Linked DNA regions of Astyanax mexicanus. The main gene of each other region encodes a partner of the protein of the gene in region 2 in a complex. Links are inferred from orthologs where the notes say so. Each region holds a gene or a part of one and is shown on either strand. Other genes may lie near its edges.

Evidence for each region.
Region 1: drc3 (region 2) and iqcd share a complex: the UniProt entries of both Homo sapiens proteins name them as parts of the nexin-dynein regulatory complex. The link is inferred for Astyanax mexicanus from reciprocal best matches to the Homo sapiens genes DRC3 and DRC10.
Region 3: drc3 (region 2) and tcte1 share a complex: the UniProt entries of both Homo sapiens proteins name them as parts of the nexin-dynein regulatory complex. The link is inferred for Astyanax mexicanus from reciprocal best matches to the Homo sapiens genes DRC3 and DRC5.

What each region holds. Positions count from the first base shown.
Region 1 is NC_064408.1:34,840,909-34,851,721, reverse strand, and holds iqcd (dynein regulatory complex protein 10), read left to right. Parts: upstream 1-5,223; 5' UTR 5,224-5,567; intron 5,568-5,728; exon of another isoform or gene 5,729-5,908; intron 5,909-6,398; exon of another isoform or gene 6,399-6,459; intron 6,460-7,231; 5' UTR 7,232-7,245; coding exon 7,246-7,881; intron 7,882-9,012; coding exon 9,013-9,246; intron 9,247-9,594; coding exon 9,595-9,666; intron 9,667-10,187; coding exon 10,188-10,469; 3' UTR 10,470-10,638; downstream 10,639-10,813. UniProt on the Homo sapiens protein: Component of the nexin-dynein regulatory complex (N-DRC), a key regulator of ciliary/flagellar motility which maintains the alignment and integrity of the distal axoneme and regulates microtubule sliding in motile axonemes.
Region 2 is NC_064426.1:31,309,387-31,320,817, forward strand, and holds the start of drc3 (dynein regulatory complex subunit 3), read right to left. Parts: upstream 4,323-11,431; 5' UTR 3,364-4,322; intron 1,955-3,363; 5' UTR 1,944-1,954; coding exon 1,775-1,943; intron 1,074-1,774; coding exon 957-1,073; intron 846-956; coding exon 679-845; intron 1-678. UniProt on the Homo sapiens protein: Component of the nexin-dynein regulatory complex (N-DRC) a key regulator of ciliary/flagellar motility which maintains the alignment and integrity of the distal axoneme and regulates microtubule sliding in motile axonemes.
Region 3 is NC_064408.1:85,883,979-85,895,544, forward strand, and holds the start of tcte1 (dynein regulatory complex subunit 5), read right to left. Parts: upstream 5,200-11,566; 5' UTR 5,136-5,199; intron 3,687-5,135; 5' UTR 3,629-3,686; coding exon 3,442-3,628; intron 3,278-3,441; coding exon 2,709-3,277; intron 2,577-2,708; coding exon 2,127-2,576; intron 141-2,126; coding exon 1-140. UniProt on the Homo sapiens protein: Component of the nexin-dynein regulatory complex (N-DRC) a key regulator of ciliary/flagellar motility which maintains the alignment and integrity of the distal axoneme and regulates microtubule sliding in motile axonemes.

The DNA.
Region 1 (10,813 bases), on a different chromosome or scaffold from region 2:
AACTTGGCCACTCCCTCAAAAATAATATGCAACAATGTGAGAAAAGTAGTAGTGATTCTGAAGAAATCTGGAAACTTTCTGGACAGCAGAACAGGGTATCTTGAATCTATGTCACCTTCTCCAGCTCCTCCAACTTCTTGAATGTCTTGGTCATATGTGTTTGCATTACTCTGCTTCAGGCTGACGTTCTCTTCACCGCAGATGAGCCAGGAAAAACTTCTTCCCGTGTCATTTCCTCTTTTCCTGTGCCACTTAAAATTGGCTGGCTATAAAAACTAAAGCAAAAAAACAAAACCTGATTGTCTTAGTACTAGAACTTTTCCATATTGGGCTTTGTTTCAATTAGAAACCAAGCTAAAAAAAAGAGAAGGTTTAACCTGCTGGTTTTGGTCTTCTTTTCAGTGAGAACAAAACAGGATGCCTGTAAACAGAAAAATGTCCCACCCGTAATAAACATGAGTAATGAAAGCAGAACGCTGCCCAGATTTGTGTTCCTTTCACAGCGAAATTGAGAAATCCTTGAGGAACAGAAAGACAAAAATGTATCCAATCAAAGTTTTACCTGTCAAACCAAAACCATGCCCAAGGTAAGGAAAGGTCACTCCAAATTTGGTAATATGACCTGGTCAGCTGATTGGACTCAAGGTAGAACTTGTAGAATGTTCTCTCATCATGTTTGTCCACGAACATGAAATAAACAGCAACAAAAACATGTCACCAAATCAGCCTGGTCCTCCCATCACAATCCACAGTTGTCATGGTAAGCAAACACACAAACACGACGTTGGTGCTAGCAGAAGAAAGCACGTGGTCCAAGTTCTCCTGACACTGAACTCTCTTCTTTTATTCCATAAATAGAACAGCCACCAGTTCCGTCACATAAAGCCCCACTGTCTGCTGAGGCCAGAAGCAGACAATGATGGAGCATGAGCCAGTAAGAGCATAAAAAAGTGTGTGTATTCCTATAATTCCTGCAATTTCCACAGAACATCCATGAAGTGGGTCACAGAAACACCATGAAGAGATTAAAAAAAAAAAAAAACTTTTAGGTTTTAGCCCTCAAGTTCAACAGCAGGACAAAAATATCACAGGGCATCCCATAACCAGCCAGCTCTGTTCACCTTTCAGCCCAGGGAGCACTGTATGTGCTTGTTTGCAGGATGGTAGGGAGTGGACGGGGGCCACAAACAAGTGTGGCATCGGTCACTATGCTGACACAGCATGTTCAGTCATGGGCTGCTGTTTGTGGGTGTGTGTGGGGGCATCTGTACAAAGACCAAAAGATTGCTGCGGTTGACACTCAAACACATGACTTCTACTGTCAGGAAACTTTTTCTCTTAAAGCGACAGTCATTTAATTTGCCCATCTTCTCAGATCCACTGAAAGATTTTTCAGGGTTCCTCTAGATTGTTAAAGAGTCGATAATTTACTTAGCAATAGGGGGTGGGCAATATGGCCTTAAAATAACAAGACAATATTTTAGGGTATTTTTTGCGATATGAAAAAACAAAATAAATATTTTATTATTTTAAGCAATATACTACTTCAACTGAATAAAACGTAAAGTTTTATATAGTTGCGAAATCCTCTGTACCCGCTTCTCATAATCTTTGGTTTGAAACAGTCTTAAAGTGCATAGGATCAGAAAAAATCAAATCACTCACTTAAAGCGTCTACAAGACAATTTAGGCAATGTGGACTCCATTTTTATCTTATGTAAAATAGCTGGACATACCTGCAATTCCAGAATGAGAAAGGTTCTTAATTCTTAACTCATATGTTTTAATAATTTGGGTTTTGTTCCTAATATCCAAGACTGGATGCATGATTGGATGATGGGAAGTTAATGGGTAGCGAAGATATTTGGCCCTTGTTAAGGAAATTGTTTTTGATTAAGTTGACTCACACCTTTTTTTCCCCACCCTTTTTTAGTTGTTTAGTCTTTTTACTAGTTTTTTGTTGTATGGTTATGCATTTGTACTGTGCAGCTTATAAACATATTTATGTTGTAAATTCCAAGTACTTTAAAAGCTTTTTAAAAAACTATTTTTTAGTTCCAAACATTATGTAGAAACAAATCTGTAAACTTTTGTCTATTCTGAAAACAGTAAAACAATCTAAATTTTGATTTTGTATAAAATATTAATAATAATGTAACAAAATAGGTTTAACCTAAGAATTAACAAAAAATACACAATACTACTGCGCACATATTTAAACAAAAATTACAAACAAATCACTTAAATCACACTGTGGTATCACAGTGACAGGAAGACATTATAACATTATAACTATTTTTAAAAATAAAAAGTTGGTAAACTTTTTTAAAAGTCCATGTCTAAAATTTAAGAAATGCTGCCCACACAGACAGGATCCTAAAGCAAAACAATGCATTCAGGCATATTTGAACCTTCTATTTTATTGAATGTAAATGCTAACAGACAATAAGAACACTTTTGTTTAATTAGTTTAGTTTAATGCTCATATCTAGCAGTGAGCTCTAGATATCTTTGCAAGGTCAGGACAAATAGTTCCCTTTTGATTTTAACACATAACCCTGCATCAGTGCACTGTCTGCTTAGCGAGAACAAATTAGCAACAAATTATGAAGTGAGCATTTCATGAGTTTCAGACAGTAAAAACAGCAGACTGTAAAAACAGCAGACAGGGAGAAGGCATGGTGCACGAATATGTTTATGTCATGCCCTAATCAATCATTTTGTATATGTATATGTATATGTGTGTGTGTGTTTGTGTGTGTGTGTGTGTGTGGTGATGTAAGGCTTAAATAAAGCTTTTCGGCCATGGAAACGTTTCATGAAGCTCTCTACACTCTACTTTTCTTGAGCTAATCAAAAGTTTGAATGCCGGTAGAGATGTAATTTGGTGACCTCTGTGCACTATTCCTTTCACTGTTCCTTTCCAGTCCCTTCTACTGACTGTGAAATATTTAGCAGTGAGGATATTTCACCTTTGGACAGTTTTACAGGAGGCATCCTGAGAGCGAACCATTCTTTTTTACTAACGTTTGTAGAAGCAGTCTGCATGCCTTGGTGCTTTGTTTTATACACTTGTTGCCATGGAAGTGATTGAAAGGATTAGTGATATTTAATAACCAGATTATTTAATAACCAGTGGGTAGCGCTGTCTCCTCACAGCAAGACGGCCTGGGGTGGCCCGGGTCTTTCTGTATGGAGTTTACACCTTCTGTATGGAGTTTCCTCCCACAGTCCAAAGACGGGCATGTTCGGGCCAATTGAGTATTGGCTGAAATTGCCCCCTAGGTGTGAGTGAATGTGTTCATGTGTCTGTCTGTCTGTCTGCCCTGCGATGCATTGTTTCAGCTTGATTCAACCTGGTTTGATGGCTTGTGATCATCCATTTGTGGACACAAAACACTGCTTTACATAACTACAATTCTTTTGCAAGGAAAAAAGAGAGAAAGAGGAGAAAATGTCCCAGACAGAAAACAAAATGCCCTAAACTGCAACAATAAGTGATATTTGATAAATGGAGGTGTTACCAGTGTTGTCCAAAATTGAAAAAGAAATATATGTCATATATACATATATACACGAACATGTATTCTTTAAGAAAAGAATGGTTTTATGCAAGCACTGAGTGCACAGATTATACATTTTCGTACAAATTTGCTCATCTTCTCCAAACCCTTATGGAGAAGCCCTCGGCTGAATGTATTATAATTCGTCCTGTTCTGAGAGACAGTGTGTGAGGCTGGTGAGAGTTACTGTGTGTGTAGTTAAGGACATGTCAGTGTGACAGTGTAATGAATGTCAGATACTCACTCTCCTCGGGACGCTCCGAGGCCTCGTCCCCCAGCAGCCCGCTGTTAGATTCGTCCCATGTTAAAATCAGCGGAACGTCGTCGTCCATCCCCACCCTGGACTGAAGAAACGCACAGTAAATCCAGTAAACCGAGTCTGGAGTCTAGCGCTGAGAGCTGCGGCACGGGTCACACATTAAACAGGCCAGCTGGCGGTCTCCCAGCGCTCCACACAACTTGGGTGAAGTTTGGACATTGGAGGCTCGGTTCTGCGCAGCAGCGTCTCTAACCGGAGATAAGGCTAATGCACTTTTCTGCAGGAATATGCAGCTGTAAACCCGCGCTGAGGAGCTCGCTGAGCTGTTTAACGCAGATCAGCTCGAGCTAAACCGGCATAACCAGAGATAAGAGTGAAGAAAAGCTCAGTTTAATCCAGTCTGCCGCCGCTTCACCTTCACTGTCTTACAACACTGTTTTACTCTTCACACTACCCTAACACGGGAGTATACACCAGCTTTTTACGATTTAATCCGCTAACTGTGACCATCTTCACTCTCAAACAACTGACACAGGAAAACACCAGACTTTACAAAAACGTAAATAACAGACAACCATTTTACGACACTTGTAGTCCATTGACGACCAAACTTGAGGCATATTTTTCACAATAAAAGTCCCGTTTAACAATATGTTTTCTCGGAATTTCTTGTTTGTTGTTTTATATAAATGGCATAGGTATTTTCCGGTAATTTAAAATGTAAAGTAGAACAAACAAAATGAATAAATAAAAAAACTAACAAAAATAAAAAAGAATTATATTCTTAAAGTAGTAGCATAGTATTACTAGTAAGTAAAACCAATTTTTTTTCTTACCGTGTCGTGTTTTACACATGCAACCCTGATGGCAAAGAACATAAAAAAAAACGTTTTTTCTTTTTTCTTTTACCGTCGATTATGAAAAAACAACCATAAAACAACATTTATGTAATACTGCCTAATAAGAATCGGTTAACAATAAAATCCCATTAAAAACAGTAAAAACGTTGAATTAACGTTAATTTGAAGGTTTTGAACCTTCAAATTAAGAAGGTTGTGTGTGTGTGTTTCCTGACACCTAGCTGTATCATACACACTTATTTTTAGTGTTCTGTGTAATTCGGTTTAAATTCTATTGATTTTTTAAATATATAAAATGTAATATTCACTAGAATTGGCACTGTATCCAAAATATAAATGGTGTGCGTGTCTGCTGCCACCTAGCTGTGACACAGTTGCTGAAATGCTATTGAATTTGTGAATATATAAAATATAATAAAAAATTTGAGCATTTCGCATAATATTAATGGGTGTGCAAGTTTCCTCATGACTCAAAGTATACATCCCCGTTATTCTGATGTTTATGAACCCTAAGGATATGGAGCTAACGTTATTGGTGTTTTTTTTTTTCTTAAAGCCATCTATTCTTATGTGGGAACATTAATAGGCATTTTTATGCACTGAAGTGATTTGGAGGTAAATAAATGAGTGTGTACAGATGTAGAGGTGGTCTAGAAGTACATGCATTTTATTCTGACAGGAAAAGTGCGCTTAGTTTTTCGGTATTAACGCTAAAAGGGCGTTGCGCAAATTTCACCCAAACAGTAAAAGGAAGGGTGTGCGTCACTCTCTGTGGTCGTACTGTCCTGATTATGTAACGTTAAGTATCTGCTGGCTACCATCCTCCGTTCAGAAGTTATTAGAGCCGAAAAGTCGAATATCAAAAATGAAACTAACTTTACCGTGGTAAAAATAACTCCTTTTTTCTTTAAGTAAGAATGCAAAGTTCGTGTATGACTGAATCCAGTGTTTATTGATATAATTGTGTATTATTATATAGAGCAGTGTGTATATCTGTAGAGCTGTATGAACTCAGAAGAGCCTATGTGTTTAAAACTGTCATGGCAACCAGCCATAGCGACCAGTGTATACACACAGCACTGCAGCGGAGCCAGTCTACAAGCAGTTTACCTGAGTTTTACTGACTTCAACTGCCGCAGATCTATAATTACAGCGTTACGTTGATGGGAAAAACCAAGCCACCGCGTAGTTAGTGTTTTAGAGAGTTTTGGAACCGCTCGGCAACAGTGAGTACAGACTGAAGCGTTTTCCCACCTTTGACCTGACCTCTCTCATCTGGTTTCAGCCCACAGCCTAACTGTGTACAGGCTGCTCAGCTAACTAGGTTGAATGGCTGTACAGGCATGATTATTGACCCTCCTATAACTGTGGTGTCATCTGACCCCATTCAGTGTTTAAAGTCTCTGAAAAAGTGTCTGACCTTGTGATTCATATTTATTGTCTTTTCCTAAACTGATGAAGACAAATAATAATAATAATAATAATAATAATAATAATAATATAATATTGTATTTTCAATGTTCTGTTCATATTTTCTAGGTGCTGCAACTAATAATTATTTTGGTAGTTGACTGATGATAATTTTTACGATTAGTCAGCGATTATTTCTGCCATGTTCTCCATCTCTAAAAACAATAGAAAAAGCTGAACATAAGATTTAAATGCCATATAACTGTTTATATGTTGTTTAAACGTGGAAAGTTCTGATATTTCGTGATTAAATATGTAATCTGTTGTGTTTAGGCACTTTTGGAGACACACGTTGAGTGTAAACAGTGTGAGTGAGCCATTTACCCTACTCGCTTTTGTCCCCGGCAGTTTGTGTAATGCGGGAAAAGTCGACAATCAAATTTGTAGTGGACAAAATTAAATCATCGACATTGTTGATTATACTGACTAAAGGTTACAGCCCTATACACCCCAGTGTTATTTAACAGGTTAGCTAAACCCCAGGCTGTTTAATCTGTATAAACATAAGAAAAAAGACATTCAGTTTTATAATCTTTCTCTAAACTTCCCTTCACTTTAGGCTTAAACTTAATAACGCAATATTTGTAATAATGACAGAACCACTGATAATTCATCAAATAAACATGGTTTGGGGCTGCTTTGCTGCAGCAGGGCATCTCAGGCTCTTAATCATAGGATCTACTATGAATTATTGTGATTGACACTTCTGATTGAGTCCAATTGGGTGATTGGGTGCAATTTGAGAACATCTGTGTAAAAACTACATAACTGTAAGGCTGTCCAAAGTATCTCCATTTTTGTCTATTTTTAGTTTATTGCATTTGTAAATTGTAATTTAATTGTAAATTGCTTTTTTGGAGATATATGTTTTTCACTGAACAGCAACAATATGTAATTTAACACAACTTTATTACCTCCATCTCTCTGTATGGCAAAATGAAGATCAGATGTCCATATGTTGAAATATGATGTAAAAGACAGATGTTTAGATGGGGTCCCCTTCTTTTTTCACCTGATTTTATCTCTCTAACAGTTAAAGCATTTTCTTTAATGTTGTTGACATGTCATCCTTTTCTTAGAACTGCTCGTGTCCATGGCATCAGAGACAGATGAAGCACTCTGTGTTAATGAACGCCAAACCGAGACCCCCTCTTCCGTCACCCCCCATAAAAAAACACAAAAACTTTTAAACTTATCTAGGAAGAAACTGGTGTCTTTGGAAAAACAGCGCATTTTGGGAGTTGTGGATGAGTGCATCAGTTTGATGGAGCTGGTGGCCCTGCTGCCCTCTGAATTAACCCACCCTGAGAGCCTCTCTGTAAGCCTCAGAGCAGAAATGACCAGGGCCCTCACTGAGGACCTGCATCTGTCAAAAGCATACCAGGACCTGAGCCTGGACCCTGGAGCCAAAGGACAGGAAGCAGCTGCTAAAGCAGTGCAAGATTCATTACTGAACATTTCACGGCTGCTGAGGGCCTGTCCTACTGCAAAGGTGGGGCTAAAAGGGGCAGGATCTATTGAAGAAGATAGAAAAGGTGTAGAGGAGATGTTAGAATGGTTACAGGACAATAGAGTTGTCCTACTAAAGCGGCTATTTATGACACCTATGGAGGAGAGGGTACGCATTCAGCGCATGCAGGAAGACACTCTGCGTCACAACAGCAACCAAAAGGTGCTTGCCACTCTGGAGAAGGAAGCTGCTGCAGCGGTAAAGGACAGGGATAAAGAGGTGAGGGACAGTCAAGCACTTTGTTTAAAACTTTGCACTATTCACTAGAGATGTACCAAGTTTAATTTTGTTTTTTCAGGTTTTTCATCCATTTTGCTACTTTTTCCACAATTGAAGTTACAAAGCGAAATAAATATGAATTTAACACTTAACCTTTAACCCAGAAGACATACCAGCAAAGTTCAATACAGTTACCTCTGCAGTGCTACTCTAGTAAGAGTTGCCAAACATTTGGTGTATCCCTACTGTTCCCAAAATACTGTTTCAGTGCCCTCTGCAGTCCTTCATTTGGACAGTCATTTCCGGTTGAGAGTATGTACTGTATGTAGAGTGTAAATTGTAAATTGTAAAGCACCCTTGGTTGCCTTAAAAGGTGTTACACAAGTGCCAATCGTTTATTCATTCATTCATTTCATGAATTGACCCCTTAACACTGTTCTCTGAATAGAGTACTAGTATTACATGTATGTTTATTTATGTCATATTTATATTAGACTAGCACCGGAGTGCTAGTGATAGGGCCATTAGCAGTGATTAAAAAACAGTTCTTCAGGAAATCTGCTACTTATGTATAATAGGCCTGCAGGGGGTGTTGTGGAGCCATGTTTGCTCAGATGTTCTAGGAGATTGTGAACCTCCATAGTGCAATGTACATGGGTACCTACCTGTTGTATGCACTGACTTATCCTTTATATGCTATATACTGTGTCGTATTGTGGGATTATTAAAGTTTACATAATACTCTGCATTGTTTTCAGAGACCAATGCAAAACATCAGAACTCCAAAGTAGTGCACAATATGGTACACATGGCACAGTTTTATACATTGTTCAAGATTTTACAGTGTGCTTAAGTTATTGGGGGGGATTTAGAACATATCCTCTCTCTCTCTCAATCTCTCTTTTTCTGTGTAACTAATGAAGTAAACAAAAAAATAGATTTCTGACAGATTTCTCTTCCTCTTTCTCTTATTCAGTGCTTCATTTTTTTTATTTGTCCTGCAAACATAATCTAGGAATCTTATTAGAATTCCATCCTGGATTTTAATGTTATTAAAACGTCATAATAGATATGATATGTCATGTTACTAACAAGACTTTTCTTTTTTCTCTTTTTCTCTTTCTGTCATAGATCAGTTGGATGAACAAAGTGATTCAGTGGCTGAGGAGTTCTATACTCAAGACAGAGAAATGTTCAGACGATTTTGTTGTGCGAAAGCAGAAGGAGGCTGAGAGACACGATGAATCAGTTCAGAAAACCTCAGAGCTGAAACAGACACGACTCCAGGAGGAAGTCAATCAGCTGAAAGTTCAGCTTAAAAACCTCATCATACAACACAGAGATGCAGAGTTGGCACTGCGCAAGGTGTGCTTTTGTGTGTGTGTGTGTGTGTGTGTGTGTGTGTGTGTGTTTAAACTGTTGTTCTGTTTATGTTAATTCATTCATCCTCAATTAGGAACATCACTGTTATTCGAATTTCAATCTGGATATTGTTATTAGATACTAGAGATTAGATGTTATTAGATTAGACTGTTAGTATGTAACTGTATTACCTATTTCCTTAAGGATGTAAAGCTTTGGCATCAGGTTACAACCAATTTTTAGATTTAATGCCAGATAAACTGCTTTTATAGGATGACAGCAAGTTCACTATTGTGTGGGCATGCTCTACACATGGCATATTCTCATATCACTGTTTGCTCTTTTCTACAGAAAAGCTACAAGGTGGAGACTGAGGTGCAAAATTGGATTGAAAAATATGATGCTGAAATGGGAGAAAAACAGGTGAACACAGATCAATGTTATTAATCAGCCAGGACGTAGTGGTATCTGAATTCTGCTTTTTTTTACACTACAAAACATGCACAAATTAATAAGATGTAAACTTAATGGCAAATTATATGTTTTGTTAGGTAGTCTTTAGTAAACATACTTATGTGTTATTAAAAAGTATATTGCACAAGCTGGTGCATTTGCAAAGATATCACTGGCAAGAATCAGGACTAATTTAAAAAAGAAATGACAGTGTACTTGGTACAGCACTATTAGCATATGCTATGCTATAGTATGTGTCATCACAGTAATGTACTCCAGCTAATCACAGCTAAGTTAAGTTGTATTTACACACACAACACAACTGTTAAATCAGTTTAAAAGATACATAAATATCAGCTACATTAGCCAGGAGTACTAAAGTACAAAAATGCTAAATTGTGAACATTTCTTTTATCACTAAATACTTTTTTAAAGGTAATGTTAATGTCCTGCCGATCAAATGTAAGATTAGTGTGTTTTTATTTGAGCAGACGAAGCTGGAGGAGATAACTCAGATTCATGAGGAAGAGATGGCTGAGCTGAGTGAGCTGCAGGAGTACTATGCAGTGCGGGAGCTGGAATTCTCAAAGATCATGGAGGAGCACAGGATAGAACAGGAAAGAAGAGATGAGGAGGAGAGGGAGAGGGAGGTGCAGAGTCGTGCAGCCATTATCATCCAGGCCTTCTGGAGAGGGTGGTGCGTCCGCAAGGCCATGAAGGCCAAAACCAAGGGCCAGAAGAACAAAAAAGGAAAAGGGAAAAAAGGAAAATGAGCAATGGCTACTTAAAACCATTTATTAAAGCAATACAATCATTTGGGTAAAGAAATAAAACGGACTAAATCTTAACTAGTAATGTAATTATTAAGTCCACATGTAATTATTGTTATTAATATGTAGAAAGAAAATTTTGCTCAAAGCACCAATAAATAAAACAAGAAAATATTCCTTTTTTATTATTTTATGTTGTTTTTTTATTCTTGTTCTGTATTTCTAATAGATAACTAAAGACTACTTCAAATCAGTGGTAGCACCGTACCAAAAACTAGCAACTTGACAGTGTCATTTTTGGCACATGAGGAAAAAAAAACTGTTGTTAATCAGAAAGCCATATACCC
Region 2 (11,431 bases):
CATGGCAAGATGATGTGAATTACTGGAGTTGGAGCGAAGCCTGATGGTGAGTGCCAGATGGGTACGCCATTCCATTTCTTAAGTTGTGTAGGCACAGTGGATGGTGATGATTATGACCAGCAGCATCTGGCACAGACATCATACAAGCAATCCATTGAACCAATGAAATGTTGCATGACATTGTGTGAGGAGAACTGCAATTACAATATATGCTTTTGGTTTATTGATCAAAAATCAATAATGATCGACATCACCTATTTTTTTAAAGATTTATTTTAATTTACTCCCATTTTCTCTCCACAATTTACCTAGGCCAACTGCTAGTCAGCTGTATATCCCCCATCAGGGTGAAGATTAGCACATGCCTCCTTCGAGACATGTGAAGTCAGCCACCGCCTCTTTTTGAACTGTTGCTGATGCAGCATTGTCGAGTAGCATCACAGCGCGCTCGGAAGAAAGCACAGTGACTCGGTTCTGATAAATCAGCTTACAGACTTCTCGTGTTGATCAACATCACTTTAGGAGTGATGGGGAAAAAGAGCACCGTCTACCCACCCAGAGAGAGCAAGGCCAATTGTGTTCTCTCAGGGCTCCGGCAGCTGATGGCAAGCTGCATGACCGGGATTCAAACCAGCGATCTCCCGATCTGTGTCACCTATTAAAAACTACAGAACTTACATTATCAATCTGAGAGATCACATTTTCTCCCAGAGAGAGGATTTCTAAATGTTCCAGTGTGTCCATCTTCTCTATGGCAGGAATTTGGTTGTTGGATAAACTCAGCGTCTGAAGTTTCACAAGTGCCTCCAGTCCCTCGATCATTTTAATTTTATTGAAAGACAAATCTAAATGATAAGAGAAAACTGTGTCAATGATTAGCAATTGTAACAAAACATAAAGAACATTCACAATAGGAAGTTTTTATGTGTAAATGTTAAAAACAGATTCAAACTCACCAAGCCACAACAGGTTTGTGAGCTTCTCTAATCCCTGAATCTTCTCTATGCTGTTATTATTAAGTTGGAGCTTGGTTAGAGATGTGAACTCCCATAAATGGTCAATCTGTAAGATTTCTGCAGAAACCGTTACAAAGGATTAATGCATAACTTTAAATAATATGATATTTAGGGAAAGTTTCAGCAACGGTTTTAAATTTGATGTTTTCTTTTTTGTGTGTTTTCTTCCTTTCTGTTTTATCTCTGTTTTTCACATGTATTCAGATGCCCTGTACCTTCTGTTGTGTCCCGGTGCTGTCTAGCCTGGCTCTTCACTACCCTGCTGCCTGCTGTGGTGCTGTCCAGGACACAAGTCAAACTTACTAGCATTTACATATCAGGTAATTGACGACTCATTCCTGGAAACTAATTCCTGTGAGTATATAAAGCATTACAAAGCCTAAAACTAAAATGTGTAACTTTCTGTTGTCATCATTATATACTTCGCATAATACTTAATTCCTATGCAGATAAAACACAGATCAGTCACAATATTTAAACTAGTTTCATTATACATTACACAAAGCAGCCATAACATTAAAATCCCCATGTTTCTACACTCATTGTAGCTGTTTTTGAATATTCTGTCTGATGCTTGCCTAAACATTATCCTTACCACATTGATCCTACTCTCAAGTGTGGCTTTGCATTTTTGCACTTGTTTTCTTATTAATCAATTACAGAAAATCATAAAAACTAGACTGGACCCAGAAGACTGGCATGCATAGAGCCTATAACATGGCACATCAAAAACAAAAGAGTATTAATTAATTTCTTACTTTTGTATTCCAGACGCAGCTGAATCACTTCATCATACTGGATGCCCCCTTCCTTTGCTATTCGTCCAGCACGGCCTTGAGGTCCCTGTTCTTCAACTGCTTTTCGCAGCATCTCCTCATTGATCACGCAGTGCCCCATTCTATCATACCACATGCTCATTTTGTCCATATTGCTAAAGACTAAAACATAATGACAGCCAGAAAAAATATTATGAGGGATGTATGTTAAGTATTGTCATTACTATATTGTTTGACACTTGACGCTTCAGTTAAGTCATTGTAGAAAAAAATATTCCATGTAATTTTAGAGCATTTCTATTGATCCAGATATTGAATGACCACCAGATTTAAATATTTAAAAAAATTTATTATTAATTGTGGGGAGCAAAAAGCAACTTTTCCCTAAAAAGCCTAAAAGCAAACATTCAAAATCTTTAACCCTTCTGCTATCCTTAAATTTAACACTCTTTTTCTCTCTAAATCAATATGATCCCAGCAATTTACTTTATTTATTTAATGAATTATCAGCAGGTTTGGCATAATCATAAAGTTATTTTTGTATTTTATTAAACAGCTCTGGAAAAATTAAGAAACCACTTCAGTTTCGGAATAAGTTTCTCTGATTATGCTATTTATAGGTATATAATTGCGTAAAATAAACATTGTTGTTTTATTCTATAAACTACGGACAACATTTCTCCCAAATTCCAAATACAAATATTGTCATTTAGAGCATTTATTTGCAGAAAATGAAAAATGGCTAAAACAACAAAAAAGATGCAGAGCTTTTAGACCTCAAATAATGCAAAGAAAATAAGTTCATATGCATAAAGTATTAAGAGTTGAGAAATTAATATTTGGTGGAATAACCCTGGTTTTTAATCACAGTTTTCATGCATCTTGGCATGTTCTCCTCCGCCAGTCTTACACACTGCTTTTGGATAACTTCATGCCACTCCTGGTGTGAAAATTCAAGCAGTTCTGCTTGGTTTGATGGCATGTGAGCATCCATTTTTCTCTTGATTATAATCCAGAGGTTTTCAATTTGATAAAATAAAATAAAAAAACTCTTCATTTTAAGTGGGTAAAGAGTTTTTCAGAGTTGTAGGCTATGAGTATTATTTTGTTACGTTAGAGACTAAAGTAAATGGACATTTAGAAAAAGATTTATAAAACTGAAAGTCATAGTGACCTCAACATCATTACCACACAAATGGTGTGTGTACAATATTAATATTTCTTATATTTTATGCATATGAAACTACCTTAATACATTGTAAGTTACAGAGGATAAGTCGGATTAGTCAGAATTTTAACACTTACAAATGCTTAGAAGAGAAAGTTAAACAAAGGTTGTTTAAAGATTGTTTTCAATAAATAACGTTATTATAAGATACAGTGTAATGCAACCAAAAAGATATGTTAACGTTTGTTAAATGTTCTTTACTATCAGGGCAGCCCAGCCTTAGGCCACAGCTAAGCTAAGCAATAGCTAGCGAGTAACTACAATATGATTACGTTATCTGAAGGAAATCATAGGCAAATCCATTAAACACAGATGTTTTTAGTAAAGTAGTTAGCTAAATTACCTGTTTATCTGTAAGTTATTTAGCATTAGCTGGAAGTATTATCCTCGCCCTCTCACCTCGCTGTATTGCTGTTGCTGTTGCTGTTGCCTAGCAACAGGACACATGTCTGTGCAGTGTTCACGCAGCACCACTAAACTCACAATCACACACAGCAGCTATACCCCACCATCACCAGATATGAAAGGTTTACTAGTAATCATTCTGACTACAAGACATATTATCAGGACCATATATCCTAAATGTAATTCTGACCTACTCCTATTTTATCATTGTTTGGGGAATGGATTTTCATACCTAATAAATATAATTACTTTTTTACTACTATTTACTACTGTATGATTGCACATATCTACAATGTAGTTCCTACTAATCAAAATATTTGAGAAATAGTATATATAATTACATAATATATATTGTACACATAATAATTATAATGTAGAGTGAAAAACCTAATAAAGTAAAATATACCTCTTAAGCTCTGACTATATTTTAAGCATCAGCTCACCATTCAGTCAGCACACAGTAGGAGTAATGCAGCAGTGTTTTTTTTTTGTTGTTAGTTTTATTGTTTAGCTAAATACATTTCGAAAATTAAAGAAATATACTGGAGAAGTAGTTAATTACTAGTTTTTTAGCTGTATTTGCCCCATTGATTAATAAGGACTCCCTTTAACGGGTTGTAATAGTTTTTGCTATAATTGGAAAAATATTTAAATTTTTATCTATAACTAATATTTAACTAAAGATGCAATTGTACAAAATGCACAAAATCGTTCCAAATAAGTAAATCCATCAGTCCATTCTACACTAATCCTCATTTTGTCAAATCAGTGCTTATAATATCGAATTTAACGCTTTATTTAAAGGTTTGGCTCGGTTTACAGCTTACTAATGCACATGCGCAGAATCAACACAGTCTTCTCTGAAGAAAGACGTGAATCTCTGTCGGCCAATCAGGTGCCGCGGAGACAGATCTGGGGAGGGGTCTGTAACCCGACACTAGAAACACAATCTTTACTGTAAAATAAGTTATAAAATTAGTAGTTTTTGTTCTTATAAAGTTTCCAGTCCTTTGGAGAAAGAAAGAAATATCCCAGGAGCAGATCACTATAATATCCAAACCGTGAAAGAGAGGAGTTTATCATTTTACATGGTGAATGTAAACACCTTGTAGCTAAAAAAGAACTGTAAAAACACTTATATAAACACACCTATAAATATTTCATTTTAAAATTAAAAATTAGAAAATCTGAAAAGCACTGAAAATCTTGTTTTTACCATATTTTGAATATTACATGTTCAATTGTATATTTTTAAGTGTTTTCAGTAAATTTTGTAATATTAATTGATCAAATTAAAATTCTCTGAATAATTTAATATTAGGGTTAAAGGCTTTAAAATTTGGGTATGTATTTTTAGGCGGAAATTAGGCTTGGAGCTTAAGAAGTTATATAAAAAAAAAAGGTTTTGTTGACTATTTTTATGTTTTGTTTACTGCATAACTCTGTAAATTAATATGCCATAGATTTGATTGACGTTAATCTGCAACAAATAGAATGTGTCCAAAGTTCATTGTGCAAAGTTACATTCTACAGCTGGTTGGTAAAGCATGTAGTAAGGATAGGTATTATGTTGTCTGTGAAATATTTTAATAACATCCCTCAGAATTTCTGAAGACTTTTTTTAAGCACCATTTCAGTACTTATAGTCATCTAGTCATCGGGGGTAGCGCACTATAGGCCCCTGTAGTGCGGCCTAGGCTTCTGTTTATAAGGTCTTTTTTCCCCTTTCATTACTTTTACTTTTATACTTTAAGTAGTTTTTAAGGCAGTAATTTTATACTTTTATTTAAGTAAAGGTTTGAGTTGATACTTCAACTTCTACAAAAGTATTTTTAAACCCCAGTATCTGTACTTCTACTTGAGTAATGAATGTAAATACTTTTGACACCCTTGCTACTATTGTGCATTAACGCCTAAATTATTAGTATATTAAATGCACTGAAAGCTGTATGAAATGCGTCTGTCGGCACGATGTTAACAGGCGATTGAGGCAACTATAGCCTAAATATCTTAGCTAATGATCATGGATTACATAGATCCCTTTTAAACATTAAACAACGCTTAACTAAACTGGAGACATATCAAAGCTGCGCTACGTTACATGCTTAACCTGTGTCCACAAATAGAGTTTACCTTTCTGAAAGTCTTGGTGGTGAGAGAAATGCCTCATAATGTACGCTGTGTTTATGTTCCGCTGATTTTATCACACATAGTTTGCGCTGAGTTTTGTTCTCCAGCGCAGCTAAACTTTTCCCAGTGTTTATTACGGTTAGCGGGAGAGACGCTGTTTAAATCAGCTGTGTAGCCTAAGTTTTTATTGGGAACATTAAACAATCTGCTTGAATGTTAAAAAACATGTAAATAGCAGCATAGCAATGGCAAGTTAAAAAAAATATAATAATGAACTGTAAAAATATAAAAATACGGTTTATAGTCACCTATACATAATTTATGACTTCAAATAATTAACAGTAACTAGTAACTTTTACTCAAAGTACATTTTAAATTGAGTACTTTTTTACTTTTACTCAAGTAGAATTTTAGATGGGTACTTTTACTTTTACTTGAGTAGAATTTTAGCTAAGTAAAGGTACTTTTACTCAATTACACATTTTTTGTACTCTTTCCACCTTTGATCAAGAGCAACGGTATCCAGGGTAATGTCAGCATACCACCAAGAAGGACGAATCACATCCAACAGGATTAACTGTGGACACAATTTGAAGCTGACTAAAAGGGATTATTATTATTATTATTATCCCCACAGAATTCGTTTTTTAAAACTTTATTCAGCTCTATTTAAAAAGGTGTGGTTATTGTAAAAGGGCTGGTTATGGGCGGGACCAATAACAGACCGTCAGCTCCGCTCCGCCCCGCTCTGCAGTCTGTGACTGCGAGGCAGCCCTCAGGGGCGGGTTTATTTAAATGAGTAGGCTGTCTCTCCACAGTCTTTCTCCTTCCTCTGGTCTCTACTGCGCAGAATCGGGTATCAGGATCGACAACATGGCGGAAGATTTTGGTTTCTTTTTCATTGAATGAATGGGAACGGCGACACGGCGTCCATCCCTGTATTTTCTGAATATTTCTAACACCCCTGCAGCAAACTTTGTATAGAACTTGATAAACCATAAATGACTGCCAATGAGCCACAAGACAACAGCATAAAACCCATTAATAACTACAATGTGGTGCTTATGGGTAGAGCATGTGCTATGAGGTTCCAGGTGGACATGGGTTAAAGTACAATTGGTAACACTTTACTTGGATGGTCCATTTGATGGCCTCTTTGATGCTCAACTGACATTCAACTAACATTCAACTACATGTCTATTAAATGCAAATGAACTAAAAGATGAAAGTAAATGATTTTCTATTGAATATAACCCTACATTCAACTCTAACCCAAACACTTATCTTAATATTTTTGGATTGGGTTTAGGATTAGATTTTAAGTTTAGGTTAAGGTTAGAGTTAGGGTTAGGTGTAGGGTTAGATTTTATGGTTGATTAAGGGTTAAGGTTAGGGTTAGGTGTACGTTTAGATTCTATTTTTAATCATTTACATTCAACATAGGGTTAAGTTAAATTTAATGGACATTCAATTCAGTGTTAGTTGAATGTCAGTTGAGCATCAACAAGGCCATAAAATGGACCATCCAAGTAAAGTGTTACCGTACAATTTCATGCAGGAGGATTTCTCAGTAAGCTTCACTACACGAAGTTAAAGTTTGTCCAGAAGGAAACGGTCTCACTGGACACTCCTCATTACTGCTCCCTCCAACATCGAGACGTGGGTCTCTAGTGAAGTGAATGATTGAAACCGGCTACACAAAAGGAGACGTTTTTTTCCTTCAGTATCTCGCTGTCTCTCCGCCTCCCTGTCGTTGCGCTTGTGCTCTGCAAGTGCCACAGAGCTGACAGTTTTTTTTTATCCAATGTGTTTTTGCTCTCCTTCCTTTTCTCAGTCGGTACTTTAATGTCTCCACTGTCAAGCGTGTGCTCCACACATCTGACCAATCACACGCAGGTTTCAATTACTTGACGGGGGAAACACTGAAAAAAAGGTTTGTCCACTTTGTTATGCAGCATTTTTACTCATCACAAGTGCTTAAAAAGGTCAATAATGAAACAAAACGTTATAAAATTAGTTAGGTTTAAGCTATTAATTAATGTAAAAAAATATATATGGGGAGACGTGTGTGTATATATATATGTATATATATATATATATATATATATATATACATATATATATACACACACACACACACACACACACACACGGCTCCCCATATATACTTTTTTACATTAATTAATAGCTTAAACCTAACTAACACTGAGGAGAGAGCCCCCCCAGTAGATGGTCCAGGAGAAGAACCTAGATCCAGTCCCACCAGCTCAAGCAGTTTATGGCCTGATGTCTCCCTATTAGACACTTATCTTGATGAACTGCTGGGTTTCGGACCAGTTGAGTCTGTTCAAGGGACAGGAAGGGAAAAGGCAGAAAAGAGAAAGAGAAGCGAGGACTGTGAGGAGACTGGGAAAAAGAGAAGAAGAACAGAAGAAGAAAGAGACAGTACTGAAGTACCATTCACCCGCAGAGCCAGTCCTATGTGGACTTCAGAAGAGAGACTGATGATGGGGACGGTGACGGACGTTGAGAACTTTTACATCTACAGCAAGAAAATGGCTGAACCCTTGCCAGTAGTAGATGGACCAACTGGAGAGCATCTTTGTCCAGGACCATGTGATTCAACCTGTTCAATCTGTGAAATGCCCGACGTCTCCTTAATGGATGCTGAGTTTGATTGCCTGCTGAGACTTATGGAGAGTTTAACCTAGATGTGCGCTTATGAAGAGCCTTGTAAGGTGTGGTACATTCAGAAGAATTCCGCCACATGAAGTGTATGAAATGATGATGGAGATGACACCCAGATTACAAAGATAATAATAATGAAATAAAGATAAATATGATATAAAGATAAATATGCGTGTTCTGGTGAGGGCTGGTTAGAGCCGAAACTGTCCTGCGTCACGATCCTACCACATAGACAGTGTTGTGCGTAAGTTCTCACGCGCGCACTGTCTCGCAGCAGATACGCGAGGGCTACCCAAGTCGGTTAATCAGCCGAACGGAGTCCTAGGCTGCGGCTCGGGGCAGTGAAGCCGCGGTTCGGGGAGGTTAGGCCGCGGGGCAGCTAGCCGCCGCTGGGGACAGTGAAGCTGCGGGTGGGAACAGTTAAGCCACGGCTGGAGACAGTGAAGCCGCGGCTCGGGGCAGTGGAAAAAAAAATAGAGGAGGAATTAGAATGTTCCATGAACTTGTATACAGACACACAGGTACACACTTGAGAAAATGAAAACACACAAAAAAAAATACTAGTAGAATGTAAAATTTGCAATATAAATGTCAGATATAAGATAAGGTACCTCACACTGTCAAAATCCAAAAATAAACAAATATTATTTTTGATATTTTGTATAATGATATTGGAAGTTGTATATATGATATAATTAATTTGATGGTCAAATTGCACTGTGGGCCTAATTATCAGGGCATTATCTCCTCAGTCTTAAATTGTCTCAAAAACTGCCAGACCTAAGAAACAATACATCAGACCAGGGGTGTCCAAACTACGGCCCGCGGGACATTTGCGGCCCGTTTCCTTTTTTGGAGCGGCCCGCGAGGTATTTTAGAAATAAAATGAAAGTTGGCCCGCAGTTAAGCAGGTTTTTATAGTGTGAGATTCAAAGTTTGAACAATAGGTGTCAGAAACAAGCCAAAGAGTCTAAAAGCGGGGAGAGTGCGCATTTCTAGCGCAGAAAAACGGGCCAAAGAGTCTAAAGCGGAGAGGGTGTGCATTTCTAGGGCAGAAAAACGGGGCAAAAGAGTCTAAAAGCGGAGATGGTGCGCATTTCTAGCGCAGAAAAACAGAGTCTAAAAGTTGCTGTAATTAAGGAGTTTAATATTAAGAGACTTCATGAAATTAAACATCAGTTTGAAAAATCTTAGTTTACACAACACTGTCAAAGATAAAGATAGTAAGTCAAGTAAAATGGTGTGTAAATGAAATAATCAGGAAAAAAGTATTATTTAAATTGGTATATTTCATTATTTGTTTTATTTTAGAGTCTTTGGCCTGTGACTTCAAATATACTTCTCCTTCTGGCCCCCAACAAAAAAAGTTTGGACACCCCTGCATCAGACTGTTAAAATCCCGAAGAAGAACAAATATTACTGTGGGTTATTTTATAATGACCCTATGAATATCAATATAATATAAGAAAAGTCAGTTTTAAGCCATCTCAAAAAAACAGTCACATTTGAGAAACATCACTGTGTATTTGTTTTGTACATAATTGCCCTTTGAACATAGCATATATTATAATAGAATATAGGGTCAAATTGCACTTTGGGTCTATTTCTCAGGCCATTATCCCATGCGACAGTAGCAACCCCTGATAGCAAATTTACTTTGGTCCTAATCTGGCCCAGGCGAGTCACAACATCTGTAACAAATCTGGCAGACCAATTTGGGCTGGCTTATTTTTGCACAACGGGCCCAAATCGGCACAGATATGTTTTGCATATCTGATTTGAATTTGGGCCAGAACTGGCACAGCTCGACACTGAATTTCATTACATTTGGCCCAGATTTGGCTCAGATCTATGACTCATTTTTTAAATCTGGTCCAAATAGGGCACAGACTCATTTACAGTTAGACCGACACTGGCCCAGCTCCGCCCCACCTTCTATGCTAAACATCTTTATACCTAAAGCTGATATGGTCCAAAACCTATAGCCTTACTTGTAAACATGCTCTAATAAAAGCTATATTTTAACATATATTATTTTTGTTACCCTTCCTACAACCACTCAAATACAGTTTTCATACTTACTCTCCTTATTTAGACATATAGGCATGAACATAAACAGAAAAAACAACAAGAGTTTGAGTTGATTTAAATTTTATTTTGTAGTTGAAGATACAAGCTTTAACATAAAGTATATTCAACAAGAAGACTATTAGAAAAGTGTGTGTGTATATAGATTTGCATATTTACACTTTTTGCCATTGTTACCATGTCACACGTTTCAGGTCATGGCTCCAATGGCTGCCAGATATGCATCCTAAAAAAAGAAAATTACTTGTTTCAATTATTTTCAATACTCAAAAATTATGTGTTTTTAAACCACAAACCGTTGTAGGTAACCAAGTTTAAATGAAAATAAATATATATTAGGTTTTATTACATTGATCATTGGATATTCTACCCAAAATGCATTTGCATGATATAATACAATCTTAAAATAGGGAATGCCATTTAAAGTTAAACTGTATTTATTTATTTATTTATTTATTTATTTATTTATGTATTTATGAACTGAGCCTGCATAGTGTGGTATTACCATGAAAAAGAGCATAACATAATTTATTGAATAAACTGACCGCACTCAAATGATAAACATTTTCTAATTTGTTTTTTGTACGTGATTTGTACAGCCCCCAGTTGTGACAGTATGTCAAATGGAAATAATAACTGCAGTTTTATTGTGGAGGTTAAGTAAATAACACTAATTCTGCTTTGGAGTTTTTTAGGATATTTAAGTTCATTTTTCTTTTAAGTAATTTAAATTAGACATAAGACATTTTAATCTTCTTCTTGTACATATTTTGGGAAGGATTTGAAAATGTGCATGTGCATTTAATTAAATTATTTCTAAATAAAACTTGGGAATAAACATGAAAAATACAAACACAATTAACTGAACCTCGGTTGGGCTAGTGGGATGGCTCGAAGCGGGCAGTGGAAAATTCCCAAATTTTTAAGTCCAAAAAGTTTTTCTGTGCACAAATGCACACGCATTAGGAGTTGTGTTCAGTGAGCCTTGTGCAGGCAGACTCCCGGTCTCACGCTGGATCCTCCTTAGTAAGTGAGGAGACGCTATGAAGCTGCGCAGCTGCACAGAGCCTCTAAACTAGCTCAGCTAACATGGCAAACTG
Region 3 (11,566 bases), on a different chromosome or scaffold from region 2:
TGCCTGCCTTTGGCCTGGTTGGTGTGCAAGTGTTTCTTGATGCTGTACTCACTCTCCAGTCTGACACCAGTGAGGCGGATATCACACTCCAGCAGGCTGCTGTTGTGCGACATTCCCTCTTCCATTGCCTTCCCACCATCCTACACGCCAGCAAACAAACACAGGATATACAACACATCAGTTAAATGTCAGCCTAGACTGGACAAGCTGTTAGTCATTACTGCATTACACTGTACAAAGCATGCTTGAGTAACTAACAGCATTTTATTTCCAAACATTATACTATTCTAAAATAAATTATATCCAATAATTATATTATAAAAAGAAAAAAAAAACATAATATTGTCCTAGACTATTATCATGCATTATCATCACCCCACATTTTTACAGTTCCACAATAAAATAAAATAAAAATAAATAAAATAAAAATAAATAAAAAGATTTAAATGTGATGAAGCATCCCTTACTTAACTTGACAATACATTGGATTATACAAAGATTGTGTAATGAAATGACTATATATCTTTATGTCAAATAAATGGCATTATAGGTACATTTGAATAGAATGTGTTTAAGACTGAACATGACATTAAAGCAAAACATATGTAGAATTAAGTAAATAGCTTAACATGTTGATACTTCACTGACTTGAAAAATAACACCTATCTAATTGCTTCTCTGGGCTTGGCATGCTGATAACTGCCCTGTATCACTCTAATAAAGCTGGCAGGCCAATACTTGTGAGAACAGCTTAATAGTAATATATGGTATATATGGTGTAATATATGGTAAAAAAAAATATTAGTTTACATTTTTTTTTCACTTTTATTGATGTTTCTATATATCTCAGCTTGTACAGGAATATGTGTCCTGCAATCTTGGGTCAGAAATCAATTTACACTTACTAAATGTACAGGAGCCCATTTTTGCAAAATGTTATAATCCAAGCAAATGCAAAACATAATTATTTAGCCCAGACTTATTAAAAATATTGAATGCAAATTTATAACGGTTTATTTATCAAACTGCAAGGCAGTACGAATTGCAAATGTACATTATGATAGCATTACATTACTAACCTTGTCTTTATTTCATATAGACTTAAATAAGGCATGATAAGAATATAGTTCTACATTTAGCAAGTGTTTGAATATAAAGTTAGACGAGATGACTCACAGTGCCACTTTTCTGTAAACGATCAATGTTTAGCTTGCAGGTCAGCCACAGGCGTTTTTCACTCCCAGCAGCAAAATACTGTTTCAAGGTCACAGCACAGTGATGACCAAGCAGATCATATTCTGCACTCTGGCTACACGCAGGCTAGACATCACGATTCTAATGTTTCTTGACAAAGGAGCCAGAGCTTTCTCCTGAATGAGGCAATTATTTCTAATACAATTTGTGTTGAATTAGAACCAGGCGGATATGGGGAGTAAAGACCCCAGTGAAGAAGCAATAGAGATGATGAGACCCCCAGGGAGTGGTAATCCCCTTCCACAGCTCAGCCTGTTAGTGCACTTCTATCCCTGCTCCATGAATAATTGAGCGTGTATTACGGTCAGAACGAAGAGAGTGAATCTTTTCATGTTCATGTTTGTAAATCGAGCCGCTGCAAAGAGCTGAGTCTCCATTCCGTATTAAAAACTGTATTTTATACAGAGTGAAAAAACAGCATATGTCTAATATAAAAGGTTTAACAAGGTTTAGTTTATACTATTCTCTCGAAGTAGTCCTAGCAGTCCAAGCTAAAACACTCCTTATAACCTCAATTTGGACCTAAATTATTGGAGGCTGAAAAAGAGGATATACACTTAAGTAATAAACCCCTCCACATAAATAGTTTTTTTGTCTAAAAAAGGCTTTTTACTAGATTTTGGAAACTTTGCTGCGAGAATTTGATTGCATTTAGCGTTAGACTTAGAGTGATAGTGATGTCAGGAAGTTAGATGGCCACAATTTCACCTCATCCCAAAAATAATGGGTGGAGCATCATCTTTCCAGAGAACACAGTTCCACTGCGCCACAACTTAATGCTGAGAGGCATTATACCCAACACCACACCCTTCTATTATATGATTCTTCAATGAATTATTACTGTGAGTACCAACAAGCGGAGCAGAACTCACCTCTCCCAGTCTATTGCAGGACAGATTTAGCCTCTTCAGAGTTGAGTTGTGCACTAACATGTGGGACAGTGCTGTGGCTGTGGGCTCTGTCAGCTCATTGGCTCCCAGGTGAAGGTTTAGGAGGATGCAATTCTTTAACAGGGCCTGGGCCAAAGCTTGGCCCCCTTCATCCCCTATCTGGTTCAGTCTCAGGTTGAGGGACTCTAAAGGGGTGTTTTTAGAGAGGGCGTGGGCTAAAGCTTGGGCTCCTGGCCCCTTGATTTTGTTGTCATAAATGTCCAACTGCTTCAGGTGACTGCGGTTTAAGAGCTTCCCGAGGGCTCTTGCTCCTCTGTCACCTATGATATTGTGTGAGAGGTCGAGCTCCAGCAGAGAAGGATGATCTAGCAGGTTGCTCACCAGCGTCCGGCACTTATCATCATCCACGTTACTCTGATTGATTTTAAGAATCTGTTCAAGCAAATGAAACAAAAAAAGGTTAAATTAAAAGGTATGATTTAATACAATGGCCCAAAATGAAGTAAAAAACATCTGACTGAGATGCTATACTATGGTAAACAAGATCAGAAATTTTTTTTGAACCTTCAAAGTTGTGCACGATTGCAGGGCCTTGGCCAGGAACTGACAATCACTGAAGGTGAACTCGAATAGATTCCATTCAAAGTTCATGCCACACCCTCTCACTCCATAAACCAACTGCAGTTCCTCCAGGTTGGTAAGCTTGTTCAGCAGGATTCTAAAGTCAAAGTGGTCTATTGATGGCCCATCATCGCCCAAATCGCTGGCAGATTCTGAGGCATCATCTTCATTGAACTTTGGTGGTTTTCTGATAGGTGGCAGAAGCTGAGTTATCTTTAGCCTCCTAACATAATTCTGACAGAGTGGCACAACATCCAGCACTGATTTGGGCTCAGTTTGGTCGGGAATGAAAAGTTCAATAATGTTCTCCAGATGACGCTCAAAGAACATGCGTTTCCAGCTGAGGTCATACTCAGAAACATCCCTCTGGCCCCAGCGGTCCTCACAGCAGCGTCTCCAGTAACCCTCATCACTGATCAGATTGGCTGTTAGGCTCAAAGGCAGGAAGGTAGGAAGCTTCTCCAGGACAAAAGCCTTCTGACTAGGCAGGAGCTCATTCAGAATAGGCTTCTCTGAAACATTTTAGAGCACAAATCAACAAATGCTGTAAAACACTGTGAAACATAGTATATACTATATACTAGTCAAAGTACCTGATTAATTATATTATTACTTAAAATCTATCATTAAAAAGTGTGTGAATAATGTCTTAATAGTAGTAGAAAAAGAAGATTACCTTCAAAATGATTCACTATGTGCTGTAGACATAAGTTTTTTAAGGAAGGCACAACAGCAAGAGACCATTCTGGGTCTTCAGCAATAATTCTTCGCATCTTTCGAGGATCTGCAGCAGGATTGAGCATCTTTACTGGTGGGTTAATGCCAGCTGGAGCTTTGCCCATGGACATACTTATGACTGGCATTTCTTTGTTGTCACAATACACAAGGGCTGAAGTCAAGTCTTTAGATGAGTCCTCTCTTCTTGAAAAAGTAGAAAATAATGAGACAAATTTACTCTGGAGATCCCTTTACTTTCCAACAGGCCACTGGAGCACAGATGTATACTGCTGTTTAACCCAGAGAATTCCTTATTTAAAAATCTGCATAACAAAATTTAAAATAATAGAATGGGATTAAGATGTGAACAGTCGGATTGGATTCAGACTTGAATTGGTTGAAAATGTTTGGTTTTAGAAAAACTTTCACAGTCAGAATTGTTCACAGCAGTGGTAAATAAAAGAGTTTAATGCATCTAAAACTTCCTCAGAGAAAGTGGTAACGACAAATGCTTTAAGAAGATTTTGGAGAAAATCCATTCATGGTGGAGGGGTACATGAAAATTGTTATAAAGCACAACTGGCCTCAATAACAGACATTTTAAGATTAAATACGGTTTACCATAATCTTTACCATTACAGTAATTTGTTTTTATTTTTTATATAGTCATGGGGGATGCCTGATTCTTATCATGACACGTGTAATGTAATCAGAGTTGTTGAGTTCCTACAATGAATCATTTCATGCCAAATCCCTCTCAGAATGACTGTTAACATCTCAACCATTTAATTATTCTCTCACACATGGTTGGACAAGTCTTATTTTAAACCCAATTTCCACCAATCTGGGAAACTGAGAAAACTCCTGAGAAACAGCCCTTGAATTTTTTCACTTTGATCTAAATACAGTCTGAAGGACTTTCTGACTCATCACACCCCAGTCTTATCAAAACGACATACATATACAAAATGTGTAAGATCTTTTTTTTTCTTAGCTATATAAATCTCTTCTTTATCTCAGACATATGTTAGTTTTCTATCAACTGTGCATTTCACAGTTTGTCATGAATGATCTTACAGGGAAACACTTTAAAAGAACATTTTAAAAAGTCCTGTAGTAAATTGTAAGTAAATTTCAGTCAATTGTCAGCCATAGACCAAAAATATAACTGCTATATATATAGACCACAATACACAATAGTCACATTATCGACTTAATGGATGTGATCCCAATAATTTTAGCAGTCCTTAATACTGCCCATAACGTTGATCTTAGCAAGAAGAGCCTATTAAAGTGTGTGAGCTGGTATTTGTTTAAACAAAGGTTTTATAGCTAACTTAAATTATTTAAAGTTCCCTGCTCTTTTTAAAGTCTGTTATTATGCTATTATATAATCATTAACTACATCGGTGGTATAAAAGGCACAGAAATGATTCAGCCCTACTGAATCTAGTTACCTAGTTAGGTTAGCTGGGTAAGATAACCTAGGTTAACGTTATTGCTACACAGCAGACTAGAAGGCAAAATGACAGTAAATTGAAGTGAACGTAATGAGTAAACAGAGTACAATACTGTGGAGAATAATGTGTTTAATGTGGGTATTGCTGTGGATATTCCTAAAACAGACACGCTGAAGAAAATCTACTTATTTACCTTCCGTTCTCCAGAGTTCACCGCCAACACAAGAGTCTCCAGTCGTTATGGCGACAAGGAAGCGCTGTGATTGGCTAGTAGTCACAGAGTAGGGGGGACTTAAAAGGACATGTGTACTTTCTTTCTTTAATTTATTTTCTACATTGTAGATTAATGTTAAAGACATGAAAACAATTAAGACAAACATATGGAGTTACGTAGTAAAGAAAAAAAGTACATTTTACAGCTCTGGAAAAAAATAAGAGATCAATTCATTTTCTGTATCAGTTTCTCTGATTTTGCTATTTATAGGTATATGTTTGAGTAAAATTGAACATTGTTGTTTTATTCTATAAACTACGTAAAACATTTTTCCTAAATATCAAATAAAAACATTGTAATTTAGAGCATTTATTTGCAGAACATGAGAAATGGCTGAAATCAGAAATCAATATTTGGTAGAATAACCCTGGTTTTTAATCAGAGTTTTCATGCATCTTGACATTACTTTTGAATAACTTTGTCATTCCTGGTGCAAAAATTCAAGCACTAGTTTTTAAGTGGTTTCTTACATATATATGGACTGTGAACTAAACTTTTTTCCAAACCAGAACACTACAATCTCAAACTACCCCATCAGCCCACCTATATGCAGATATTTACATAAACCTGCAAAGTATCTTTTCTGCATTTTCCATTTTCTATACAAATTCTACTTTATTTATTAATGGACTTTTTAAAATAGTTCAATTGGGGTTTCCCCATCCTGTCTCAGTAAACTTTTAGAATTAAACTGTCTGAACTGTCATATTTGTTTTGAACAAATGAACCTGCTGACTGGGATTGGCTAATTAATGGCCATGCACTGCTGGTACTGTGGACCAATGCACATACATTAAACATTAAAATATTTGAATAGGATTCTATTAATAGCTCTTTTAGCAGCCCACACACAGAGCGTCCCACCAGGAATTGTCCCGGTACTCCCTATGGCCAGTACATCCCTCATCTCAAACCATATACATGAAGAGCAAGTTTTTATTCCAGTTATTCCATTATTTATTTTATCAATATATCATATTCTCATTGTTTAAGTTCCATTAACCCTAAAACAGAACACACTGACCATACATAACATGCTAAACTGTTATTAATCAACACAGTTTTGTTAAGAGCAGGATTTATAGCAGAAAATAAAATGTAGGGAGTAAGATGATTAGGTGTTAAAAAATCATATGTAGCAAAAAAAAAAATAGACAGCCAAATCAATACCACCAAACCAGACCCCAACAAAACAAAAACCAAGGAAAACTGTAAACAGGAAACAGTATAATCCTCTCCTAGCCATGTAACCATTAACTCTCATATTGAATACCATTCTGTCCCATTTTAATTCTAGTTCTCTTTTAAGAGATAAGGTAGCTTCTTATATCCCATTAATTTTCATTTATGCTAGATAATTAATAATATGTAAAGCACTGAGAGAAAAAGTATTGGCCCACTTTTAAATTGCAAAAACGCTGAGGAAAGAAACTCCCAAGGCTATAGACATTTTATGCATTTATTAAGAAAAGATATTCAGCACTTATTCCCCCGGGTAAAAAAGAGAAATTGTTCAGATGAATAGGAAGGTTAATCCAGTCCTGTAAAGACTCTGTAAATCATTTTCAAATCACATCTGCTAGTAAATAGCAATCCAGAGCTGGCTAAGTGCCTCTCAGTGTACACAGTGCTTAATTCCACTTGAAAGAGATGCTAATTTAGGGAATGAGGGGGTCTGAAGTGGGTCTTCTTCAGTAACACACTCTCAGCTCGATTTCTCTCAGAATTAAATAGGGAACAGAGCACAAATCTGCCAGTTAGCAAAGTGAAGGTCTCACACACACACACACAAACACACACACACACACACACACAGTAGTAGACGTGATAACAATCTAGAACATCATCAGTGTGAAATTAGACATGGGGATATTTGCAAATCTATGGGAATGGAAAGGTGTTATAAGACGCAGCATTTGTGAGAGATTTTTGTCTCACACTTGGTTAAAGAGAAGCTTGACTACAAAGTTGTGGAAATGTCTGTTGTGTAAAAAAAAGCCACTTGTGAAGCACAAAGCTTTGGCGTGACATCTGGGTGTGAAGCCACTTTGTGAAAACACATCTGAAACAAAATAAAACACTTTGATCCTGTGAGGGTATTTTTAACTACATAACTAAAATAAAACCTCAGGTGGTTCATTTGCACACAGTTTGCTTTCAAGCTTGCTTTTTAGGCTGAATGTTAGATGAACTAATTTCTCTGGGAAAGAACCTTCTGCTTAATCATCTGACAGGAAAACAGGAAAATTTGCTGGAATATAAAGCCCCTTTCCTAATCTGAACTGCCCAATAGAGCCATTATTAAAGAAGACATGGCCCTATTTTTTACCAGTAGTGTAGCAATAACAGTGGGAACCCTGAGTTAATGCATTCTGAAAATTTATGTCTGCAATTTTCATTCATTAGAATAATGCGTGTGTGAGAAAGAATTATATTATTATATTATATGCTATAAGGGTTCATAAAAGGAAGAGGGGTGTCAAATCTGTCCACTATGGGCTGATGTGGCTGAAGGTTTTAATTGCTGCCAAGTAGGGGAGAGCGGGGTAATGTGAGACATCGGGTAATGTGAGACACCCCTTGTATCATGGCAACTGAACACAATTGTGGTCATGTGACCATTATGTTGTCAAGTCCCTCCCATTTCCCACTACTAGGAAGAGGAAGTTGTTGCTGGTGCTGTTAAGTTTTGGTTTTTTTTCACAAAAAGGTGTTTTATGCATTTAAAAGTAAATTTTCTTGCTTTGAACTTAATCAACTATTTTATCAAAGTAAATTGATTCAGGTAGAAAAACTAATATCATACATGCTTATGAACGTTCAACATATCAAACCATGTGATTGATGCTAGTTGAAGATTAGCCTGATTTGCTAGAGATTATGTTTTTTTCTAAAATGGTAGCCGTGGGGTTAAGTGAGACAAATGCTGTGGGGTAAAGTGAAACACCGTCCCAGCCAATTGGACTTAGAAACATTGTGCAGGTAGGCTAGCGTGTGATTACATAGATAAGAGATTACATGACTATATGATTCTGTAGGTTAACTTTCCAAAAGCAAAATCTATACTAATGAATACTGTACTTTTTAGGAAAAGAGTGGTTTGGAAGATTCTTAGCACGTCAACATCTCTCTGTATGAACTCCTGAGGCAACATCCCTGCGAAGGGCTACAACTTTCAATAAAACAACAGTGAGGGAGTTCTTCGAAAATCTCGCTGTAGTAATGGACTGGTGACAGAATCAATTCTTTAGCTGCATAAGTTTTATGGAGACTTTACCTGTAATTTTTGGCTTTGATTTCAATAAGGTTCTTCCCTTGTCTCTCATCTTTAATAGACACGCATTCCCTCCACACATGATTTACAATGGGGATGAAACAGGTGTCTTTACAGTTCAAAAACCACAGCAGGTGCACTATACATGATATAACAGACTAATAGTGAGTGGGTTGTGATAATGACCAGTGAAACTTTGAACTGCAAAATATTAATGGACTGAATCTCCATGATTCTAACACTAGTCCGATATTAGTTATGGAATGTGTGGTTGTCAATCTAGCTGTAAGGATTGTAATTGTTACAAAATGTAATGTTAATGGTAGTGTACAAGTGGAAAACATAAGTGGAACAGCACACCCCCAACTGGTTCACTTTACCCCCTTAATTTCTCTGGTCTGTCTTAGTTTACCCCTGAGTTGGGGTAAAGTGAGACACAAGACCACAAACATATTTTCATTGCCCTTTGTCTTGAAGACATTCTGATAACTTTAATAGCTAGGAAACATCCTGAATTAATTGGAAAAAATTAAATTTTACTTATATATCATTGTAGCTCAGCTAGCAAGGGGCAAATGTAAAAAATGGCTCACATTACCCCACTCTCCCCTACTGATTAAACCAGTAGTATCAGGCTTGGTTGCTTAGAATGATAGCTAATAGCCAAACAGACCATTTAAAGAGAAGATTGAACACCCGTCAAAGAAGAACTATTAATACCTACAGATCCATGTTTGTAAGCAAGATCTATCTGTGAATGTGAAGAACCTTGACATTGGTAAAGAACCTTTACATTGAGTGCAGATTTATTAAATCCTTAAAAAGCTTCTTGATACTCAAACATTTATAGTACTACATATAGAGTGGTGTGAAAAAGTGTTTACCCCCCTTCAAAATTATTATTATAAGTCAAAGGCAAGTAAACACAAAATGCAAATTTTAATGATGAATTTTATTATTAAGGGAGAAAAAAATTCCAAACCAACAAAGGCTTGTGTGAAAAAACTGTTTGCTACTTAAACCTAATAACTTCAACTTGAGGTCACAAACAGATGGCCAGACATTTTTCTTCTCCAAGATTCATGGTTCCATTTATCACAGCAAGTCTTTCAAGTCTTTCAAGCAGCAAAACAGCCCCAGATCATCACACTACCATTTTTATACTGTAGGTATAATGTTCTTTTATTGAAATTAGGTGTTACTTTTATGCCAGAATATGACACACCTTCCAAAAAAGTTACATTTTTGTCTTGCCAGTTCTCTCATTTTTCACATGTCTTAAGGATCATCAAGATGTTTTCTGGCAAAACTGAGACAAGTTATTTTTGCTCAGCAGTGTTTTTTGACTTGGCACTCTGCCATGGAGGCCATTTGTACAGTCTCTTTGTTATGGTGGAGTCATGAACACTGACCTTAACTTAGGCAATGAGGCCTGCAGTTCTTTGGATGTTGTTGTGGGGCTTTGAATGAATCGTTGTTGTGCTCTTGGGGTAATTTTGGTCGATCGCCTCCACTGTGGTTCACTGTAGTCCCAAAACTTCTTGGCTTTGTGATTTTTTGATTGAAAACAGGTGCGAGAGTGATCAGGCCTGGGTGTATCTAGAGAAACTGAACTCAGGTGTCAGAAACCAGTTATGTTTTTTCTCCCTAAATAATAAAAACATTAATTAACCAACAGCATGTTGTGTTTACTTGTGTTATCTTTAAATATTATGATCTATAACATTTAAGAGTGACAAACATGCAAAAAAAAAAGATATCTTGAAGATATCATGGACAAACACTATTTCCCACTATTTCACTGTATCTCATCTCTTATAGCAAATACATCATATATCTCAAGTTATTATCTCTAAAATATTAGCTATATTGCCCAGATTTGCAGTGCATGAGATCCATTTATGAGGTGTTGCTGAAATTTTGGCCAAAACAGCTCCTACTACAACGCCCACTGTCACACTTCACCCAGCACTGTGTGTCCACAGTGGCGGCACCCAGGCGAAACTGTCGGCTTGCTTCAGTGCAAGTTCAACAACCTTCGAACCCCAAACAGCCTCAAGCTCTGCACTGCAAAGACTTCTGTAGTATTTTAGCATTAAAGGAATAGTTTGATGAAAAACTCAACCACTTCTGCCATTGTGCAGCAACATTAATGAGATGTAGAAGAGGTGGAGCGAAGAAACAAGGTGTAAAGAAGTTGTAGATTGGGAAATAGGGCAGTAAGAAAATGAGGTGAAGTAATGAGGTATTGATGAGATGGGGTAAAGTAATGTGGTATTGAAGTGATAGACTAATGGGGAGTCTATGAGATGGGGTGGAATAATGGTGTGTTCAGGGTATGGGGTGCAGTAATGAGAAGTTGAGAAGATGGGGTGGAGTAATGTGATGTTGAGGTGATAGGACAGACTTACAGGCAGTCAAGGAAATAAGGTTAGGTGTAATGGTGTGTTGAGGTGTTTAAATAATGGGATGGGGTGTTTAAATAATGGGACAGACTAATGAGGTATTGATGAGAAGGAGTAAGGGAGTGTTAAGGAGATGGGGTGGAGTTATGGGGTGATTAAGTAATGGGATAGACTTATGGGGCATCAAGGACATGAGGTTGGAATAATGAGGTGTTGATGAGATGGGGTGGAGTAATGGGGTTTTGATGAGATGGGGTGGAGTAAATGGGGGGTGTTGATGAGATGGGGTAGAGTAATGGGGTGTTGATGAGATGGGGTGGAGTATGGGGGTGTTGATGAGATGGGGTGGAGTAATTGGGTGTTGATGAGATGGGGTGGGGAAATGGGGTGTTGATGAGATGAGGTAGAGTATTGGGATGTTGAGATGGAGTGGAGTAATGGGGTGTTGATGAGATGGGGTGGAGTAATGGGGTGTTGATGAGATGGGGTGGAGTAATGGGGTGTTGATGAGATGGGGTGAAGTACAGTAATGGGGTGTTGATGAGATGGGGTGTTGATGAGATGGGGTGGAGTAATGGGGTGTTGATGAGATGGGGTGAAGTACAGTAATGGGGTGTTGATGAGATGGGGTGGAATAATGGGGTGGAGTATTGGGGTGTTGATGAGATGGG